Linked DNA regions of Arabidopsis thaliana. Each later gene encodes a partner of the first gene's protein in a complex. Each region holds a gene or a part of one and is shown in the gene's direction. Other genes may lie near its edges.

The links.
Region 2: XPB2 (region 1) and AT4G17020 share a complex: the UniProt entries of both Arabidopsis thaliana proteins name them as parts of the 7-subunit TFIIH core complex.
Region 3: XPB2 (region 1) and GTF2H2 share a complex: the UniProt entries of both Arabidopsis thaliana proteins name them as parts of the 7-subunit TFIIH core complex.
Region 4: XPB2 (region 1) and AT1G12400 share a complex: the UniProt entries of both Arabidopsis thaliana proteins name them as parts of the 7-subunit TFIIH core complex.

What each region holds. Positions count from the first base shown.
Region 1 is NC_003076.8:16,542,746-16,549,839, forward strand, and holds XPB2 (homolog of Xeroderma pigmentosum complementation group B 2), read left to right. Parts: upstream 1-1,594; 5' UTR 1,595-1,828; coding exon 1,829-1,838; intron 1,839-1,937; coding exon 1,938-1,981; intron 1,982-2,068; coding exon 2,069-2,141; intron 2,142-2,221; coding exon 2,222-2,390; intron 2,391-2,472; coding exon 2,473-2,695; intron 2,696-2,797; coding exon 2,798-2,854; intron 2,855-3,161; coding exon 3,162-3,305; intron 3,306-3,413; coding exon 3,414-3,494; intron 3,495-3,590; coding exon 3,591-3,678; intron 3,679-3,889; coding exon 3,890-4,227; intron 4,228-4,412; coding exon 4,413-4,488; intron 4,489-4,575; coding exon 4,576-4,769; intron 4,770-5,064; coding exon 5,065-5,228; intron 5,229-5,315; coding exon 5,316-5,388; intron 5,389-5,490; coding exon 5,491-5,604; intron 5,605-5,706; coding exon 5,707-5,787; intron 5,788-6,004; coding exon 6,005-6,376; 3' UTR 6,377-6,439; coding exon of another isoform or gene 6,440-6,492; 3' UTR 6,493-6,582; downstream 6,583-7,094. Other genes in the region: AT5G41350 (RING/U-box superfamily protein), read right to left, coding at 1-108, 279-419, 641-643. UniProt on the Arabidopsis thaliana protein: ATP-dependent 3'-5' DNA helicase/translocase; binds dsDNA rather than ssDNA, unzipping it in a translocase rather than classical helicase activity. Component of the general transcription and DNA repair factor IIH (TFIIH) core complex.
Region 2 is NC_003075.7:9,577,349-9,583,290, reverse strand, and holds AT4G17020 (transcription factor-like protein), read left to right. Parts: upstream 1-1,851; 5' UTR 1,852-2,208; coding exon 2,209-2,321; intron 2,322-2,391; coding exon 2,392-2,559; intron 2,560-2,814; coding exon 2,815-2,883; intron 2,884-2,977; coding exon 2,978-3,071; intron 3,072-3,190; coding exon 3,191-3,291; intron 3,292-3,372; coding exon 3,373-3,418; intron 3,419-3,492; coding exon 3,493-3,552; intron 3,553-3,631; coding exon 3,632-3,700; intron 3,701-3,812; coding exon 3,813-3,896; intron 3,897-4,018; coding exon 4,019-4,102; intron 4,103-4,198; coding exon 4,199-4,284; intron 4,285-4,374; coding exon 4,375-4,465; intron 4,466-4,618; coding exon 4,619-4,699; intron 4,700-4,837; coding exon 4,838-4,912; intron 4,913-5,001; coding exon 5,002-5,135; coding exon of another isoform or gene 5,136-5,139; exon of another isoform or gene 5,140-5,224; coding exon 5,225-5,318; coding exon of another isoform or gene 5,319-5,352; 3' UTR 5,353-5,416; downstream 5,417-5,942. Other genes in the region: EXLB1 (expansin-like B1), read left to right, coding at 110-242, 589-698, 830-1,141, 1,277-1,474; AT4G17010 (transcription factor IIIB), read right to left, coding at 5,664-5,918. UniProt on the Arabidopsis thaliana protein: Component of the general transcription and DNA repair factor IIH (TFIIH) core complex, which is involved in general and transcription-coupled nucleotide excision repair (NER) of damaged DNA and, when complexed to CAK, in RNA transcription by RNA polymerase II.
Region 3 is NC_003070.9:1,448,103-1,452,544, reverse strand, and holds GTF2H2 (general transcription factor II H2), read left to right. Parts: upstream 1-1,643; 5' UTR 1,644-1,692; coding exon 1,693-1,968; intron 1,969-2,370; coding exon 2,371-2,832; intron 2,833-2,929; coding exon 2,930-3,308; intron 3,309-3,483; coding exon 3,484-3,632; 3' UTR 3,633-3,914; downstream 3,915-4,442. Other genes in the region: AT1G05060 (coiled-coil protein), read left to right, coding at 1-36, 126-250, 789-880, 1,008-1,094, 1,183-1,290; AT1G05040 (UBA-like domain protein), read left to right, coding at 4,097-4,404. UniProt on the Arabidopsis thaliana protein: Component of the general transcription and DNA repair factor IIH (TFIIH) core complex, which is involved in general and transcription-coupled nucleotide excision repair (NER) of damaged DNA and, when complexed to CAK, in RNA transcription by RNA polymerase II.
Region 4 is NC_003070.9:4,219,959-4,223,365, forward strand, and holds AT1G12400 (Nucleotide excision repair, TFIIH, subunit TTDA), read left to right. Parts: upstream 1-1,868; 5' UTR 1,869-2,052; intron 2,053-2,328; 5' UTR 2,329-2,337; coding exon of another isoform or gene 2,338-2,372; 5' UTR 2,373-2,411; coding exon 2,412-2,645; 3' UTR 2,646-2,907; downstream 2,908-3,407. Other genes in the region: AT1G12390 (Cornichon family protein), read left to right, coding at 389-460, 1,010-1,191, 1,271-1,393, 1,487-1,523; CLP2 (CLP protease proteolytic subunit 2), read left to right, coding at 3,141-3,190, 3,282-3,325. UniProt on the Arabidopsis thaliana protein: Component of the general transcription and DNA repair factor IIH (TFIIH) core complex, which is involved in general and transcription-coupled nucleotide excision repair (NER) of damaged DNA and, when complexed to CAK, in RNA transcription by RNA polymerase II.

The sequences.
Region 1 (7,094 bases):
TGATGTCTCTAAGTTTGTGTCTACTACTACAACACCAGTAGAGATTGCAGAGGAAGTCCTGTTATGAGCGGAAGATAAAGGCACACGCTCTTCTGTTGCCCTTGGGTACTGCAAAATACAAGTCATAAAACAAGTTATATTCCCATATGAATCTCGAAGCCCGTTGGGGCTTTTAACTCATTTAGTGTCCTGAAGCACATCAAGATTGATTTATTTGCAGCCTATCAAAGCAAGGACACCCAAAAAAAACGAGGAAGTGGGAGAAGTATCAGACTAACGTAGTAGTACGCAGGTCCATTATCTACATCAGCTCTTCGTGAAGAAGAACAACAACAGCAACCTCCCATCTCTTCTTCTCTTTTTTTTTTTTTCTGTTTTACAAAAACTACAAAACCCGAAGACTCTTCATCTATGCTAACCTACAAGATATGTGAAGAAACAAATTACATTCTGAGATCAGTAGGAGAATATTTATCATCTATATGCAAGAAACTCAAACAAGCTTTATCGTTTTCGATATCAGTTTGAGCTGTCTACTAAAGTCTGATCAGACTCATCATGCTAGTAGCAACAATAAAACAATTCAGCTACTAACAGTTCAAATTCACTCTCAATAATCAAAGATACAATAAACATCAACCATTAAAATCGAGACAACAGTGTTGCGACTACAAGCCTATGTGAATCTCCTACAATTCTCATTCTCTTTAGCACCATCTACACACAATTGCAATAAATTCAAATCAGTTTTACACTAAACCCCAAAAACTTAAAACAATTCTACTCAGAATTTAACTCCAACACAAACAATGAATCCACAAAAAGAACCAAAGCTCCATTAAGAGCAAGCTAATCCGTAAAACCCTAAACCGAAACTTATAAAAGCAACAATAAACATCAGAATTCTCAGAATCTAGCATAAACACATAGGAGAAATACGGATCAAAACAGTAAAAAAAAAACCCACAGAATTTCACACAAAAATCAAGCTCAAAACCTAAAGAAAAGCGATCACTAGCAAGAACAAACACCAAAGAAGAACCGATCATCTTCTCGAGATTGAATCAGAGAAGAGGAATTAAAAATCTCAAAATCATAGAGAGAATTTTACTTTTTGTTCTTGGGGGAAGCTTTTTTTGTTTTGTCTTCGTCTTTCTCTGCTTCTGTGCTTTTTGCGGTGCTGTGTTTATCGTGCGCTCTATCAAAATGACTTTCCTAAGAAATTACAAAGACTCTTTTTGGGCTCAATATTATATTTACTTACCTGATTTATTAAATTCATTAATACAATTATTAATTAGCTGATTAATTATTTTATTTTTTCCGTTACAATGTATTTTTCAAAATTTCAATAATGAAATTACATAACTGAAAATCGGCTGAAAAGTGTCGACCAAAAAATTATAAATTGGGAAGTACCATTTTCAGTAAAATTATTACTATTTTTTTTCCGGCAAATAATTTATCGATGTTTAAAAAAGAAACATGGGCTCAAACTTAAGAATAAAGCCCATTTAAAGAATCCTATTAAAAGCCCATATTTGATCTGTTACTGCAGCCTTTATATATGAATCGTGTTCTTACGTTTCTGCTTAACAATTTCCTTCCTCCGCTTCAAACGAGTCACCGACTCGACACAGGAATCCGAATTCGCCGGAGACGCAGCTTGCTTCGTTGAATAGCTTACAACGGGAAATTACCACGAAGACGGTTGTATATTCCCTCCGTCGTACAATTTAGGTTATGTGCGAATTCACAAATTGAAAATACAAGAGAAACAATCCCTAAAATCGATTTGATTAAGAGGAGCGAAAAGAAGAAAATCAATATGGGAAACGGTAATGGTCTCGAATCTCGATCGTACTGAGTTTTGATTCGTTTATTGAATTATCCGGTGAAAAGAGTATGCTAATACTGGGGAAAATGTTGATGTTTAGATGAAAGAAAACGACCTACAAAGAAGATGAAGTACGGTGGGAAGGTTCGTGTTGATTCTTCTCCACATGACTTTTTTTATTTATTAGGCTCTTCACTTCTAGTTAGTGTAATTGTACTGTAAAAATCTCAGGATGATCAAAAGATGAAGAACATACAAAACGTTGAAGATTACTATGATGATGCTGATGAGGATTCTCGTGATGGTAATATTGATTACTCTCGTATAATTAACATAGATACATTGGGAACAAAATTGAAATAGAATTTATAATGGTTTTTAAAGGTGAAGGAGAGGAGAAGAGGAGAGATTTTACTGATTTGGAGTTGAAGCCGGATCATGGAAATAGGCCTTTGTGGGCTTGTGCTGATGGAAAGATTTTCTTGGAGACATTTTCTCCTCTCTATAAACAAGCTTATGACTTTCTTATCGCCATTGCTGAACCCGTTTGCAGGTTTGATTTTGATTTGATTATTATATCAATGTACAAGTTATGATTTTTGTTGTTGATTTTCATTCATTTGTTACTATTTCAGGCCTGAGTCAATGCACGAGTATAATTTAACCCCACACTCGTTGTATGCTGCTGTTTCCGTTGGTCTTGAGACAGAAACTATCATCTCTGTTTTGAATAAGCTATCTAAGACCAAGCTACCCGGGGAGATCATTGATTTCATCCATGCTTCTACTGCTAATTATGGGAAAGTGAAGTTGGTATTGAAGAAAAATCGGTATTTTATTGAATCACCATTCCCGGAGGTAAGTTCACCAGACTGATCCTCTTTCTCTAGTTATGCGTATGGGATTTTTGTGTAGTTTCTCTGTTGGTTTTGCTCACTCGTTAAATATAAACAATCTTAGGTGTTGAAAAGGCTTCTCAGTGATGATGTCATAAATCGAGCAAGATTTACTTCTGAGGTATGTTGAACTCCTCAATTTAGTGCTTTATGTTTACTATTACTGGATGGAAATACATACCATGATCTGTTGTTCTCAACAGTTTTTGCATCTTTTGATACCAATGCGGCAGAGAGATCTATCCTGATTCTCTTGGGGCTATTGGTTTCGTGTTTAAATTCTAATTTTTTCTTGAACTATTTAATAGATAAATAAACTCATTATCCTTCTTTTTAAACTCCTTGGTTCATTGAATGTGAAATTGATATCTCTTATACCATTGTATTCTCCACAGTATGTTGAACCAACTTATTAACTTTTTTTCTAGCCATATTATGGTGGTGATGGATTTACGATCGGCAAAACAAGTGGTGAACTTGAAGCAGGACCTGGGGAGTTGTTGAATGAAGCAGAATTGGCAGCAGCAGCAGAAGAGAAAGAAACTCACTCATTTGAGATAGACCCTGCACTGGTAAATTTCCCCTAATGCTTCTGAAATAAATCGTGTTGATGACTTTGTTAATGTTATATGATCTTTACTCAACTCACGGTGTCATGTTCTTCTGCTCTTGGTGTGTAGGTGGAGAATGTTAAGCAGCGTTGCTTGCCAAATGCCTTGAATTACCCTATGTTAGAGGAATATGACTTCAGGAACGATAATGTGAGAAATAATTATCACACTTCAGGTCAATTTTTACTTATCAGATGATATGAACTGGATGTTCGTGATTGTTAATAACTTGATGGTGTCTGTCAGGTTAATCCTGATCTTGACATGGAACTGAAGCCCCATGCACAACCAAGGCCATACCAGGAAAAAAGTTTGAGCAAAATGTTTGGAAACGGTAATACGATATAACTGTCTACGCCCGCATTTATTTTCCTTAGTAATTTGTTTACAGCGACTGCTAAATTGATTGTGAACTTCTCTTAGATATATAGATTTGTACTTTCATACACTGTTCTGATCTAGCTTCATTGTGAACTTCTAATAGATAAGTATCTTTGTTATTTCTCCTGAAAGCTTGTGACTGATCTAGACTCCTGATTCTGCAGGACGAGCAAGATCTGGGATTATAGTGTTACCTTGTGGAGCTGGTAAATCTCTAGTTGGTGTTTCTGCAGCGGCTCGTATAAAGAAGAGTTGTCTTTGTTTGGCAACGAATGCTGTCTCGGTGGATCAATGGGCCTACCAATTTAAGTTGTGGTCTACTATAAAAGATGACCAAATATGCCGTTTCACTTCTGATAGTAAAGAACGATTCCGTGGAAATGCTGGTGTTGTTGTGACAACCTATAATATGATTGCCTTTGGTGGTAAACGATCTGAAGAAGCAGAGAAGATTATAGAAGAAATGAGAAACAGAGAGTGGGGGTTGCTGCTTATGGACGAGGTAATCAAATTGTTCTTAGTGTGATGTGCCTTTGAATTGAAGTTAGTGTTTACTGGTAGTTTACATTGCGGAAAAGTTATATGTGGTTCATTTAGAATGTGTATCCACTATCCAGTGTTACTGGGATCTACAAATAACAAGTTTCCATCCAATGCGTGACATTTTAAGAGTTATGTTTTTCATAGGTGCATGTGGTTCCAGCCCATATGTTTAGGAAAGTTATCAGTATTACAAAATCTCACTGCAAGCTAGGACTTACAGGTAAATGAAAAATTCATTTTCACATACCTTTTTATTTGTTATACTTCAGTTGCAGAAGCTAAGTCTCTTTTTTGGTCTTTTGTTCAGCCACCCTTGTGAGAGAAGACGAAAAAATTACAGATTTAAACTTCCTCATTGGCCCGAAACTCTATGAAGCCAATTGGCTAGATTTAGTTAAAGGAGGCTTTATTGCAAATGTTCAGTGTGCTGAAGTATGGTGTCCCATGACCAAAGAGTTTTTTGCAGAATATCTGAAGAAAGAGAACTCGAAAAAAAAACAGGTTAATGCGTCTAAGCTTTCTCCGCATTGATCTTTGTTTTCCTTGGATATTTTTACTGGATAAAGATCTTAAAATAATTGACTATCTTATTTTATGTTTGTTTGTTTTGATACACTAGAGTCCATGAATTTGATGTAGTCTAGAACCTTATAATATGGTAAACATCAATATTATAGGTTATTTGTGTATGTCTTATAATTTGGCAAATGCTTCTAATAGATCACCCTGTAATAGAAACTAGGAAACCCCTTCAATTGTTCTGACATTTACATATCTTGTCTTCTGGTGTCTGCAGGCGCTTTATGTCATGAACCCTAACAAGTTCAGAGCCTGTGAATTTTTGATACGTTTCCATGAACAACAACGTGGGGATAAAATCATCGTCTTTGCAGACAATCTTTTTGCACTTACAGAGTATGCAATGAAACTCCGGAAACCGATGATTTACGGTGCAACCAGGTTCGTTAAAGAACCACCTATTGAGAGCACAATTTTGTATGTTTCACTCAGTTTCCAATCTGATAGTTCTCTTTGTTCAATATGTAGCCATATCGAACGAACAAAAATTCTCGAGGCGTTTAAAACCAGTAAAACCGTGAACACTGTATTCCTGTCAAAGGTATTAGCGTTGTTTCCTTTCCATTGACCTGGGAATATATAGAGACTTGTTCATTCCATTTTCATCAAGTAACTTAGTTTCGGTTTCTTTTATTGACTACAGGTTGGTGATAACTCCATAGATATCCCTGAAGCGAATGTGATCATCCAGATTTCGTCACATGCTGGTTCTAGACGTCAAGAGGCTCAACGTTTGGGTCGTATCCTTAGGGCTAAGGTGTGATTTTAAGTATTATAACTCATCACATTTTGCGTCTCTCCTAGAGTTCCTCTTGGTTGTTGGATCCAACACGTTTTATTTCTCCGTGATCAAAAACAGGGTAAACTTGAAGATAGAATGGCTGGTGGAAAAGAAGAGTACAATGCATTCTTCTACTCGCTTGTTTCTACCGATACACAGGTAAATCACTTTATTGTTGAAGTAGCCATAAAAACTGAAATTCATCAGACCAAATCAGAACCAAAATATAATTCAGTTCTAGTCCGCACTCGTTTCCAAAACACAGAAAAAATTTTGCTTTCCAGAACCCGTGACTTGAATTCCTGAACCGATAAAAATCGAATGACTGATTGAATGGAGAATGACTGATGTAAGGATCGTGAATGTTGAAATGCAGGAAATGTATTATTCAACGAAAAGACAGCAGTTTTTGATCGACCAAGGTTATAGCTTCAAGGTAATAACAAGCCTCCCACCTCCGGACGCGGGTTCAAGCTTGGGCTACCACAGTCAAGAAGAACAGTTGTCTCTTCTCGGAAAGGTGTTGAATGCTGGAGACGATATGGTTGGTTTAGAACAACTTGAAGAAGACACAGATGGAAAGGCTCTAAAGACGCGACGAAGCATGGGATCGATGAGTGCAATGTCCGGTGCAAATGGAAGGGTCTACATGGAATACAACTCAGGTCGTCAAAAATCTGGTAACCAATCCAAGAAACCTAAAGACCCAACCAAACGACACAATATCTTCAAAAAACGTTATGTTTGAGACAAGAGAACTCATATTCGGCTATATGTTTTGAGTTGTAACTTTGGTGCAAATTTGTTTCAGGCACAAAATCAAGAAAACCTAAACGAAGACACCCTACCTTAAAAGACCGTTAACATTTGATATTTGTTTTATTATGTGAATTGATTAATTGATATTAGAAAGTTCTTTCCTTTTTTTTGATATTTGTTTTCTAGCATATCATGATATCGCCTCGAGAATACCTTTGAAAATTATTTTGTTATTGTCAACTGTCATGATATCTCGCTGAACCAACATATAAAACACGATTATAATTTGGTTGACAGATCCTGAACAACAGTAAAACGTACTTAGTTTTCGAGGTTAAAAAATAATTACTTGTCATGATTTCGAATTAAAAATAATAATGGGCTCAATTTGAGATTAAAGAAAGCCCACGCTAAAAGAGGCCTACTAAATGCCCATATTGGATCCGTTATTGTAGCCTTTCTATATATGAATCGAGTTTGCATTTCTGCTATAACGTTCTCTGCATTCACATGATCACATCAACTCAGTAACGGACTCGACATACCCGGACCTGGACCCGACACCGAATCCGAATCATAATGCGACGGAGACGCAGCTCGCTTCTCGGTCTAGCTTACAACGGAAAATATTTACGGTACCGTTTGTTTTCCCTCTGTCGTAGAATTTCTGTCTTCGACACCGGATTGATATAATCGATTGAAAAGAC
Region 2 (5,942 bases), on another chromosome or scaffold:
CACTATCTTTTGTGATAAGAAATTCTATTATCAATTCCTATCATTTGTTAAGAAAAAGAGTTAGAAGTATTAATAATCTTACAATATTTATAGATAAGATAACAACAATATGAAGCATTCTCACGTTTTGCTTCTTCTATTTGTTCAAGTCATTGTCCTTTTGCCTCTCCTTTGTCTATCCGACGATTTTGTTAACTCTAGAGCTACTTATTATGGCAGCCCCGATTGCAAAGCAAATCCTCGTACGTATTAAAATTGTTATTGCTATATACATCGTGTACCTTAATTCTTTTTCATTTTCTTAGTTGTTGTATAGACTTGTACACGTTATATATTGGTAAAAGATACATTGGTGTAATATCTCACTATAAGCCATAACTAATTATTTTTGTTTTATATCTACGTATAGGTTTCTTGTTTTGTTTTATTTTGAAGGTTTATTCAAATTCTAAATACATATATGATTGAAAACGAGTCCACTAAGTGTCCATTAACTGCGTAATTAGTAATGATAACTTTCCATTATGAGAATATACATAATATTTGTCGAAAGAATAAGAATAATTAATTAATTTTTTGATGATGCAGGGGGACATTGTGGGTATGGAGAATTTGGAAGAGATATCAATAACGGTGAAGTGAGTGGTGTTTCATGGCGACTATGGAACAATGGAACTGGCTGTGGTGCTTGTTACCAGGTTATTATATATAGTTATCTACTTATCTCAATCAATATTTCATCAAATATTATTATAGTATATGCTATGTCATTAATTACTAAACTTATATTATGAAAGAAAAAAAAACTTATTTTATGAATTATAAAAAGGTGAGGTGCAAGATACCACCACACTGCAGTGAGGAAGGAGTATACGTAGTGGCTACGGACTCCGGAGAAGGAGATGGCACGGACTTCATCTTAAGCCCTAAGGCGTACGGACGTATGGCGCGACCCGGCACAGAAAATCAGCTCTACTCCTTCGGTGTAGTCAACGTTGAGTACCAAAGGATCCCTTGCCGATACGCAGGGTATAATCTGGTGTATAAGATCCATGAGAAAAGCTACAATCCTCATTATCTTGCCATCCTTGTCTTGTACGTTGGTGGTGTTAATGACATCCTCGCCGTTGAAGTCTGGCAGGTAAATTTAATCAAAGATGTTGAGAAACTTAGATATATGTTTTTGAGGATCAAAATATATAGTTTACTCTTAGATGATTTTGTGAAACAAAGTTAAACGTTATTATATGGTATGCATGTATATGTATGATTTTAGGAGGATTGCAAAGAGTGGAGACGTATGAGAAGAGTGTTTGGAGCGGTTCATGATTTGCAGAATCCACCTAGAGGCACTCTCACATTGAGGTTCTTAGTCTACGGAAGCGCAGGAATCAATTGGATCCAATCGCCAAACGCTATTCCCGCTGATTGGACTGCCGGAGCCACCTACGACTCCAACATTCTACTTACTTAATTGATTCACTTTTCATCAGTGTGTTTTTATCATATAGTATTTATTATGGTTTCTGTATGCAATGGCTAATATATTTAAATAATGCCCTCTAGGACAATATAATTAATGATGATAATATAAATAATCGTAGTAGATTCATATATAATTTATGTATTGTGTCTCACTAAGAAGATTGTAATGGTTTGTATGAGTTTGATTTTGATGGAATAAATCAGTACTAATCAATTTATCAGATGATGATCAAACGTTTCGTAAGCTTTTTTTGTTTACATTTTGGTCAGTCAAGCATATATCTCTCCCTAATCAACCATTTTCATGAAAACAAATTGGCGCGATTTTTGTTATATAGATAGGCCCATTAGTAGTATTCACAAGGCCCATTAAAACTTAATTTATCTTGGCCATCCTCTTCGATCGATTTCGTCAGTTTTCTTTGATTCTGGGTAGTAAATAATCGGGATCAATTGTAGAAGAGCTCATCGAGAAAAGAGAGAACCTAAACTTTAAATTCAATTCTGTATTGTTCTCAAACTCGAACCCGAAACTTTAAATCCTTCCTTATTTGTTTTCTGGAGTTCTTGTTTAGAACTGTTTTGGATTTGTTTTTTTTGAGGAGATGCTTTAGTTAACTAGGTTTGCTTCGAGCTGATCGCTGTGTGGCATAAACCCTAATTTCGTGGAAACTGTGCTCTTTTAGAACCGGTCCAGTGAGTAAGGGAATCCAATTGGTGAAGATGCCGCAAGTTAAGATCATTGCTAAAAATTTCATGGACATGGTGGCGTCACTTCCAGCCATCAAGCTTGACAAACTCTACAACAATGTCTTTATCTGCGAAGCCATTCTCAGGTTAATTTATGTGTCTATGTTGTTGAATTTTGAAAAAATTGAGGATCTTACATTCTTAAGATGGTGTCAGGTCTTTGCCGCCTCTTGCCAAGAAGTATGTATTGCAGATGTTGTACATTGATGTTCCTGTACCTGCTACGATGATGGAGGAGTGGGTGCTCGCAGATGGCACCTCTAAACATAGAGTTGCTATTGATCGACTGATTCAATTAAGGATTTTTTCAGAAATTAGTGATAGGTATGCATTCTTGCTTTATTCTTGATACTGTCATGATTTGACTTATTTCAGTTAGTTCAATACTTCTGTCTATTCACGTTGGAGGGTTTATTTGATATATTTATTTAAAAGAGTGATGGTGGATGTTAACTTGAGCATTGAACCCTATGAGCTTCATCTTATACTTCAATTTACTGTGTTTGGATTGATTATGATTGTATGTGGCAAGATGATAGTTCAGATTTAGTTCTTAAGCTGCTCTTCGTACTTTTGCAGGAAAAGGGGAACCAGCTACAGCCTAAATCCTACATTTCAGAACAATCTTCAGAAACATATTATTTCCGGGTAAAGACATCTTTACATTGACGGTACTCTCCTTTTTCGTTTTTTCTCTAGGCTTTTGGAGAAGATGCTGATGAGCTAAATTTGAATTTTGCAGTGGAGTTTTGCCTAGAGAGCCTATGAACTCCGACAATGCCATTAAACTTCCAAGCCTACAAGAACTCGAAACCTATGCACTTAAGCAATGGGAGGTGTGTGTATTTCCTAATTTCTTATTGATAATACTAGTAAGGTGGAAGTAATTTGTAAAACAAATATCTTTTAATATGAACTTGGTTAGTATCTGATGATGTGTACTTATGTTTGTCAGTGTTTCTTGCTACAACTTATAAATTCGGGTCAAGGTGAAAAACTAACTGGCATCAGTTCATCCATGATGAAAATTTTTCAGCGAGGTTTATTGAGTCAGAGGTAATGTTTTCATACACGTCTATAGATGCATAGTGGTGGCATATAGCCTCCCTATTTGATACACTTCATGTAATATTGCAGAGACAAAGATGGCCCGAGATTAACTGAGAGTGGCTTTCAGTTTTTGGTATGCAAATCGTGAGTCAGTGGTCTATAATTACCTGTATTCATGTAAGTAACCTGATTGACCTCAATTTTCAGCTGATGGATACAAATGCCCAGCTTTGGTACATTATTCGAGAATACATATTGAATGCCGAGGTTTGTATTATTCCTAAGGTTTTGTGAAATTGATATCTCTATTTCGCCGAATGGATAACCCAATGCCAGTGTTTCTCAGGAGCGAGATGTAGATCCAGCAGACTTGATTTCGTTTTTGTTGGAGCTTAGTTTTCATGTTACTGGTCAGGTATAACAGAACTTCACAAAAAAGTCATTTCAAGCGTTCTTGTTCTTGTTTTTACTCTTACTTGATTTAGCGGGATGCTTGTTAATTATTTCGGTGAGCTTACACATTGCAGGCATATAACTTAAATACCTTGACAGAGGTTCAAAACAATACCCTCAAGGACCTTGCAGACTTGGGATTAGTCAAGCTTCAACAGGTTAGACTTAGACCATTTGTAATATTTTTTTTATTACCAAATATCAAAAGAAAAAAAACTTTGCTAAAGTTATGATTATAGAACTATATCACATGCTGAGCCAGTCTTTATGATTATTGAAGGGAAGGAAAGACAGTTGGTTTATTCCTACTAAACTGGCTACAAATTTATCAGTCAGTCTGGCAGATTCATCAGCGCGAAAAGAGGTCACACCTTTTTTATTCCCCTCTTGTCCCATATCTACCTGCTACCAACAATTTTCTTGATTTTGTGTATCGCTGTTGTTTGTTGTTCCTCATCAGGGATTTGTCGTGATGGAAACAAACTTCAGAATGTATGCGTACTCCACATCTAAGTTACAGTGTGAAATTTTACGACTATTTGCGAGGTAGAAGCTCCTGAACATCGACCTGAAACTTTACTCTTCTGTGTCTTAAAATCCTTTAGGTCTAAGTAGTTGGTGCTTCATTATTTCCAGGATAGAGTACCAACTTCCAAACCTTATTGCTTGTGCCATTACAAAGGAAAGTTTGTACAATGCATTTGACAATGGCATCACATCAGATCAGGTACAGTTGGTTTCAGTTGAAAAACATTTTGAAGTTATCGAATACATGATTTTGCCCGGATCCTCACTGTCCTTGAAATGTTGATCAAATTGTTGATGCGTCTCTTTATAGTTTCTGAATAAATATTTTTTCCTTTTCTTTTGATTGTCACAGATTATAACTTTCCTCCAGCAGAATTCTCATCCACGATGTGCTGATCGAGTCCCATCTATTCCAGAAAATGTCACTGATCAGGTTTATACTCTCTATGCCCATCAAGTGTCGATTATACAAAAATGTGTATAGGATTGGTTTATAGAATTGAAAGTGTATACTATCTCTACGTCCTGATTCATCAGGCTTATGTTGAATAAAAATGCATTGTTCTGGCAGATTCGGCTTTGGGAGACAGATCTGCAGAGAATTGAGATGACCCAGGCTCACTTCTATGATGAATTTCCTTCAAAAGTAACAAACCTGAACCCTCTTATTATTTTCTCTTCTCCATAACGCAAAACCGTTATAGTAAATCTCATTAACCAAAATCATGTTAGCAGGATGTGTTTGAGGCAGCTTGTGACTTTGCTCGGGAATGGAGAGGCCTTCTTTGGGAAGACTCTAAGAGAATGCGACTTGTTGTGAAATCCGAAGTTCACAATCAGATGCGTGAGTTTCTTCATACCCAAAGCAGGTAACAAGAAGAAACTCACATTTTCTTCTCGTATTAAAACAAAACATCATGCTTCGATTCTACAAACTATGTCTTTCGTGAGGTTTCAGCAGAAAGAGAAAAAAGAGTAGCCATTTGATGTCTTGTTACTCTATTAGTTACCATCGTTTTTATCCTGCTAACACATGCGCACCCCAAACGTAGGAAAAGTACTTGGTGTTGGTACCCACGAAGTTGAAAGTTGAAACCTTTAAGCTGTAAGACCGATCCATTGTAAATCACAATATACTTTATTAGGCGAAGTTAAGTTTGAAACAACATATATTGACAAAACGTGGTCGTTGGGGATGGTCCAACCAGGGTCACCTCTATAATTTCTTGTACGCTAGACAGAACACAATCTCGGTTTTGATTCTATTCAGTTGACCAAATTTCAAAATTATTAAAACCTCAGCAAATGCGAGGCTACAATCTCAGTTTAATCAACTAAGAGGATGTATTCAGAGACGCTGAATCTATTCTGTGTCAACATGAAGACAAGATCTGACTTCATTTTGCTTGAGATTTTTCGTTGGCTGAGGACTCTGAATCCTGGATCTTATCTCCCATGTTTGCATCTGTAGTCACATTTGCATTTCCACGTGCCCGAGCGAGTTTCTCAGCTTCTTCAATCTTTCGTATAGCTTCCTGTTGTGTTGCGTTCATCATTGTCCCCATCGTTTTCTTCTCTCCTTCGAGCTGAATTTCCATTATGGTACTAGCATGCTTGTCTATCGGTTTGAAGTAGTCTTCAATTTGAGCCTCCTGTATTGGTAAAAGACCCAAAAC
Region 3 (4,442 bases), on another chromosome or scaffold:
TGTGTCTCTGCCACAAGTCACTTTCGGCCGTAGAAGGTTCAAATTAGGGTTTTATACTCTGTTTCACTTGATGAGTATTTCAAAATTTTGGATTTGTTGTTAATTTGTGTCGATTTTTATTGCAGATGGGATTTACCGGAATCTGAGAATTCGGTTTTGGCGTCAACAGCTAATGAATTGAGGAGAGACAGATACGGCACTCCTGTAAATCCTGAGAAATTGAAAGCTGCTGGTGAAGGGCTTCAACATAGTATGATCACTTCTCTTCTTTTGTTTATCTGCAAATCAAATCTTTTTGAACGTGGATAATTGGATTTATGGATACAGTTACCTACAGAGGAACATGACTAGATTTGGGTTGTTTGCTAGAGATAGAAGGATTGCTATCTTTACGTGTTCTGTTTTCACTTCCTTGCTTTTGTTAATGTTGATCATGTAAATTGCTTGCCCAAACTTGTCTATTTTACCTTGTTAGGGACTGCAATGGCAGTAATTCTGAAAGGTTTCAGCTTACTAGAGAAAACTTTGGTTTGTTTGGTTATGAAAGCCAAGATTTTCCGTGGCTGAGGGTTCATGAGTGTCTAATGTAACAACTGCTTTCTGGTTGTCTCTTTTTGACTCTGATGACAAATAATCTAAGTATCTCTCTCACAGCCTAGAAATTGTTGATAATATTGCTTAGATTGAGATTCTGTTATTGTCTTTTGTCTTTTAATGTTAATTGATGTCGTGAAGTGTTCGGAAAGTTTGCCTAATCTCGAGCCCTCTGATTTTTCTGGTTTCTGCAGTTGGAAAAGCATTTGCAGCCGCTACTATTATCATCTTTGGTTCAGCCACTTTGGTTTTTGGAACGGCAGCCTCGAAACTTGACATGCGTAATGTAAGATTGCATATGTTTCCATTTTCTTACTTAAATCATTTAGATTAGCATTTCTAAGCATTATTGACTGATCTTGAATGCCATCATCGCCTTACTTGGTTTTATTGTATGATTTTCGTTCTGTTAGGCTGATGACATAAGAACGAAAGGCAAAGATCTTTTTCAGCCAAAACTGGAGTCGATGAAGGAACAAGTAGAGCCCTTAAGAACTTGGGTAATGTTTTACAAAGATACTTGCATCTTCTCAACTGAAGTGGATCATAATCATTAATAGACTAACCCGAAAAGACCATAAATTTCAGGCTGAAAACATGTCGAAGAAGTGGCATATTGAGAATGAAGGTGGTAATACTATCAAGGAGAAACCAATCTTGAAGGAGCTTTCGAAAATTCTGGGACCTAAATCTTAAAAGGCCAAGACCTTTGGTTAATGTGTAACCATGTGGATAGAGAAAGTCAAAGAAGAAGTTCTATATGTTTGTAAGATTCAATAAGATCTTAGGTAAATTATCATATTGTGCTGTAAGAACTAAGAAGTTTCAATGTTGCTGTATAAAGGTTGTATCGAGTGATTTAAGTTTTGTATAATAAAGTTTTTATGAGTTTCAATATCAATGTTTCCTATTGTGTAAGCAAAATAAAATGTTTCACTTCTGATTGGACATGGATTGGTGGGTTAAATATACAGAATAGGAAGTTACAGTCAAAATTGTGAACGTTATAATAAGTAAGGGTTGTTTATGTAAATTTTGGCTTCAGTAGAGTTCTCTTCTTCTTTTTGTAATTAGGTCTCTTAGACGGTGAGGTTAACGATGAGTAATCAAAGAAAGAGATCAAACGATGAAAGAGAAGAAGAGGACGACGAAGATGCGGAAGGTATCGGCGAGTGGGAGAGAGCTTATGTTGACGACCGATCCTGGGAGGAGTTGCAAGAGGATGAGTCTGGACTTTTACGGCCAATTGATAACAGTGCCATTTACCATGCTCAGTATCGCCGCCGTCTTCGTATGCTCTCCGCCGCTGCTGCTGGTACTCGTATCCAAAAGGGACTTATTCGATATCTCTACATCGTCATTGACTTCTCTCGGGTAAATATTTTTCTTTGCAATCCGCCGCTGCTGCTGCTGATTTTGTGATTTTTAGCTTCAATGCCGTTTCCTTTGAGTTTGATGGCGTGAAATTGAGCTTATGTTGCTTTCATCAGAGCTTATATAAAAGAGAAACTATGCACTTTGGGTCACTGATAAGTAACTTTAATGTAATCGTCGTTCTAGTTTTGGAGATCTCTGCTCTTTAGTCTTCTCAATAGGTTCTATAATTGGCTCTGTATTGTTTGCAATGATAATCTTACTCTAAGTGGGTTTGTAGAGCTTAAGGATGTGATCCTTATTCAGATTCTTTATTGAAGGCAACATTATGATTTGGGTTCAAATTTCTCTAGTTCCAAGGTATGCAAAGTCTTACACTTTGGACTGTTTTGTCGTGTCTAGGCAGCTGCGGAAATGGATTTCAGACCAAGCCGGATGGCTATAATGGCCAAACATGTCGAAGCTTTCATTAGAGAGTTCTTTGACCAGAATCCTCTGAGTCAAATTGGGTTGGTCTCTATAAAAAATGGAGTTGCGCATACATTAACAGATCTTGGTGGTAGTCCTGAGACTCACATCAAAGCGTTGATGGGGAAGTTGGAAGCTTTGGGTGACTCCTCTTTGCAGAACGCTCTGGAACTTGTACATGAGCATCTCAACCAGGTTCCATCTTATGGTCACCGCGAGGTTCTGATATTGTACTCAGCTTTATGCACATGTGATCCAGGCGATATCATGGAGACCATTCAAAAATGCAAGAAATCCAAATTAAGATGTTCTGTAATTGGGCTCTCTGCAGAAATGTTCATATGTAAACACCTCTGCCAGGAAACTGGCGGATTGTATTCAGTTGCAGTGGACGAGGTGAGTTTAGCTACCTTCTACTTACACTTGGACCTTTGAAAAACTTGTTTTGTATGGTATAACATTGTGCTTTGTGTGTATTTGTCTTTTCACGCAGGTGCATCTAAAGGATCTTCTGCTTGAACATGCGCCTCCACCTCCGGCAATAGCAGAATTTGCAATTGCAAATTTGATCAAGATGGGTTTCCCACAAAGAGCTGCTGAGGGTTCAATGGCGATTTGTTCGTGTCATAAGGAAGTTAAGATTGGAGCTGGTTACATGTGCCCAAGATGCAAAGCTCGGGTATGTGACCTCCCTACGGAATGCACTATCTGCGGTCTAACACTTGTTTCTTCGCCGCATTTGGCGAGATCATACCATCATCTCTTCCCGATTGCTCCATTTGATGAGGTGCCTGCACTTTCAAGTCTGAATGATAATCGGAGAAAATTGGGAAAGAGTTGTTTTGGTTGCCAACAGAGCCTAATTGGTGCAGGTAACTACTTGAACACCATTTTATAGAGTCTTAATACTGTTGGTTGAATAACCATTTGGTCACTAGACCAGTAGTTGAACTTAAGATACGGTTCACCCTTGTCATAGTATATACAAAGTAACCGATCCATTCACTCAAATATAAAGGCTCATTGGTGCTTTTGTTTTTTGCTTAGGGAATAAACCCGTCCCATGCGTAACATGTCGTAAATGCAAGCACTATTTCTGTCTGGACTGTGACATATACATCCACGAGAGCTTACACAACTGTCCTGGCTGTGAGAGCATTCACCGTCCCAAATCAGTTTCTTTGATGGAAGAATGAGAGAATGAATGTGTTCACACTTCCAATTATAAATCACAATTGAGATGATGAGAGGAAGCAATTTTTTTTGTGATATAGGATGTTGTAATTGGTCTTATGTCCTTAACCAAAATCTTTCTTCTTTTGTGGACTCTATTGCTCTCTCACAATTGATCCAAAACAAACCGACTCAAATTTTCAGAGATAGCATTCTTAATTGTTTGATTTTCTATTTAACTTGGGCTTGAAATTTCTTCACTCATGAGAAAACGAACAGTAGTAATAAAGAATTATTTCGGTGGTAAACAAAAGGAGACCGTATCATCAGTTGTTTGTTGATACTGTCATGACAAGGTCGCAACTACTTCCCTAAATATCTCTCTGTTTGTTAGAAGCTTTTATATTAGATCTAAGTGAAACAATTCTTAGTGATTGTCATAAGTAAACAACGTACTTAATCTTTGAGAAAAGTCCCTAACACCACCATGAAGGAAGAAGATACTAACGTCACTAGGTTCTGCAAGGCAACGTCTGCGTGTAAAGATGCAGCATTCTACTACCTTGAAGGATTCGACTGGAATCTCGAAGACGCCATCTCTGGTTTCCTCGGTGATCAACTTCCTCCGCTCAAAATAAGAGCGACTCCACGGAGGGTGAATGAATGGCGAGAGCGATCTCGATCTCCTTTAAGAAGAAGATACTCTACTACCTCTGTCTCGGAATTTACGCTGAAGATGCGCCAAGATGAGATAACCATAACGAAAAGCTCTGATACGGGTGCTTTGGCCACCAGGTGGGTGATTTAATAATATTAAGGGCTCGGTAATCCAA
Region 4 (3,407 bases), on another chromosome or scaffold:
ACAAAAATTACACGGCTCTCGTGCCCAAACCCAAACTGTTTACTATTTAATTGGGCTAAATCTATAGAGGCCCAATGGCTTATAAATCATAGATTCATAATACTGAAATATTAAACCGGCGTAAATGGTACGTACTTCGGGAAATAACGAATTCGATTTTAACCGGAAACTGAACCGGAAGCTGAGTCTCGTGCCTGCCTTCTCTAGGCTTCTTTGTTTCCGATCAGAATCTCGAGCTCAACTGTCAAAACTAGCCGACCACTAAGTCGTTGTCCTAACTTTCTCTCTGTTCCTCATCGAACATTATTGGGAGGAGAGAGAGAGAGAGAGAAGACCAAGAAACAACGAGGATAGATCCGAGGAAATTGTCGGAACCAAAAGGAGGAAGATGGGAGATATCTGGACATGGCTTATTTCCTTCTTCTTCCTCATCGCTCTTGTCGGAATCATCGTCTATCAGGTGCGATTCCCAATTTCTAGGATAAATAAACCCAAAGTTCTTAACTTTTCTATCGGAATTTGCCAATTTTTTCGCTTACGGTTATAATGATACCATATTTGTCCATTTTGATTCATTTGGAGCCTTTTTTTTGTTTCTGGGTAGTCTGTGATTTAGCTAGAATTAGGGTTTTATGTTCTTGTCACATGTTTGGAAGAAGTAAAGGTGTAATTTTTGGGAATGTTATCATCAAAGGAGTAAATTCAGGAACATATATAGTGCGTATTGGCTTCTCAAAACACTTTTATAGGTTCATAGTTAGTTCTTATGTTGGATGTTCATGTCAGGTCTGAGGATTTACCTCCTTAAGCACAGGTTGTTCTTTTATAAATGAGCTCCATTTCGGCATAATGAAGTGAACCCTTTAGTTTTGTTTGTGTAGACTCTAATGAGAGGAGTCACTGAGACTGATAAGCTAGCAAACGGAATCTTCCATGTATAAACAGCTTGGGAAGACATTTTCTAGGAAGCTAACTTCTCTTTTCTGAATTTGAATTCTTTCATTTGCAGCTTGTTTGCTTAGCGGATCTCGAGTTTGATTACATCAACCCTTACGACTCTGCGTCGAGAATAAACTCAGTGGTTTTACCGGAGTTCATTGTTCAAGGAGTTCTATGCGTATTCTACCTCCTAACAGGACACTGGTTCATGACACTCTTATGTCTCCCCTATCTATACTACAACTTCCATCTGTAAGTCCAACTAATCTCAATCTTTTGCTCCAATCAAATGTTGTGGTATTGATATCCTTTCGGTTTCTCCGTTGTTCAGTTACTCGAAGCGACAACACTTAGTAGATGTCACCGAGATCTTCAATTTGCTTAACTGGGAAAAGAAGAAACGGCTGTTCAAGCTTGCTTACATTGTCCTTAACCTCTTTCTCACTATCTTCTGGTAACGAGAAAGATATTTCGAATCCCATTATTGCTTAACCATAAGTAGATCAAGAGAGCTAAAACACTTTCTGTTTGCAACTTTTTTTCGTAGGATGATTTATTCGGCGCTGGATGATTACGAGGACTGACTAATGAAGAAGACATGGTCCATCTTCTTCGGTTTATTGACACTACGCTTAAAGATACAGCGACATGCTTGTGGACATGAAAAAAAGCAAGGAAAAGTGTTTGCTTTGTGATGTTTGTAAGATTAGTGGCAGGAAGATTTGTGTATTTATTTCTTTCTTAGAAACATGTTCAGATTAACTGTTTTTTTTATGTCTTGATCATTATTTGTACAAGCAATCAAGCTCGTAAACTACTGGTTACAGTAACAATGAAACTGAATAATTTCAAATATAAGAAGAAAAAAAGTTAATTCATGTGAACTTTGACTTTTAAAAGTGAGAAACCCTTTTGAGTGATGTAATAAACGATAACTTAAAAGATGATCCGAACCTTCTGTTTCAGTTTTGTAATTAGGTTATCTTATAAAGCTAATCCTTCTCTCCTTTACTGTGACAATAATCGTCGTTATCAAGGTGATTTCTTTCTCTGCCTCAAACATCGCTTACCCTCTTGATTGATTCCTCCAATCTTCTTCGTGTGGTTTCACAGGTGTGTGGTTGATCTCTAGACCAAATTGATCTGGTTTCATCCTATTTCTATTTGGTCTGTAATCGTTAAAGTCTTAAGATTTGGGAATCGAGTTTATGTTGTGGTGTTTAGGTAGCGAAACCCCAGTTATGTAATCGTTGCATCTAGTAATTTGGGGTCCTTGAATTGAAACAAAGGATTAATCTTTCATTCATCTATGTTCTGAGTTATCGAGGATGTTCTTGGGTCATCTTTTGATGAAAATTGAGCTCAGATTATTCGTGTTTTGTATTACAGGTTTTACTTATGGTTAATGCAATCAAAGGAGTGTTCGTCTCTTGGTACTTCTTACCGTTGTTACGATTCCTAAGCAAATCTTGATGAACACAATTGAATCATTCATTGTTTCTTTGTATCTTTTGTTTGTTTGCAGCGATATTCCGATGACACAATTCATAGTGAACATGAACAATTCGATGCCTCCGTCTCAGAAATTCATAATTCATGTACTTGATAGTACTCACTTGTTCGTGCAACCACATGTAGAGCAGATGATCCGCAGCGCCATTTCTGATTTTAGAGATCAAAACTCTTACGAGAAGCCCACTTCTTAGATCACATCACATCACACTTGCTTCTTGTTTTTCTTTCATTTGATTCAAATGAATAAAAACTTCATTGAGATCGTGAGATTGGTTGATATGGCTCATGCTTTAATAGAGTTAAAGTGAACTTTGTTGACAAATAATCTCTCTGTACCGGTTTAGTATCAGTCGGTTTTCTCTGGTTGTGTTGATTACTTTGTCACTCTTTTGTTGAATAAACACGTTTGTTTGGTTATTGTTCAATTACTTGTAGTAGATAATAAACAGATTAAAGAATTCGGAAGTTCCAAATTTCATTTTACTCATGAAGGATGAACCAAGTAAAATCAGAAACTAAGTTAACCACATACAATTTGCACATGTGAACCAATTCGGTTAAGCAAACCAATAAACCAATCTTCTTCAACAAATTACCCAATCTGTATGTAAGCTTTTCCACTTCTTCTAGTCTTAAAATAAAACAAACAAAAAATCTAGTGTTCGGCTCTAACACGCTCGACGACCATGGCGGTCTCGTTTAATACAACGCTTCACCAGCCTTCTCTGAGTCCGAGGTAATCTTCAATTTATCTAAATTTACATACTTTTGTCTCTGTTCACACATATTCACTTGCATCTGATTGCTTTGTTATGTCCTTTTTGCAGCTGTAGCATCAAGCTTTATTCTGGGTTAAAGCCTCAATCTGCAAGTTTGTTCCTTTTCCTCTTAATATGTCCGAAAGTTCATGTTTTTAATCGAATTGGTCTGCGAGATGTGAGGGAACTGATTTA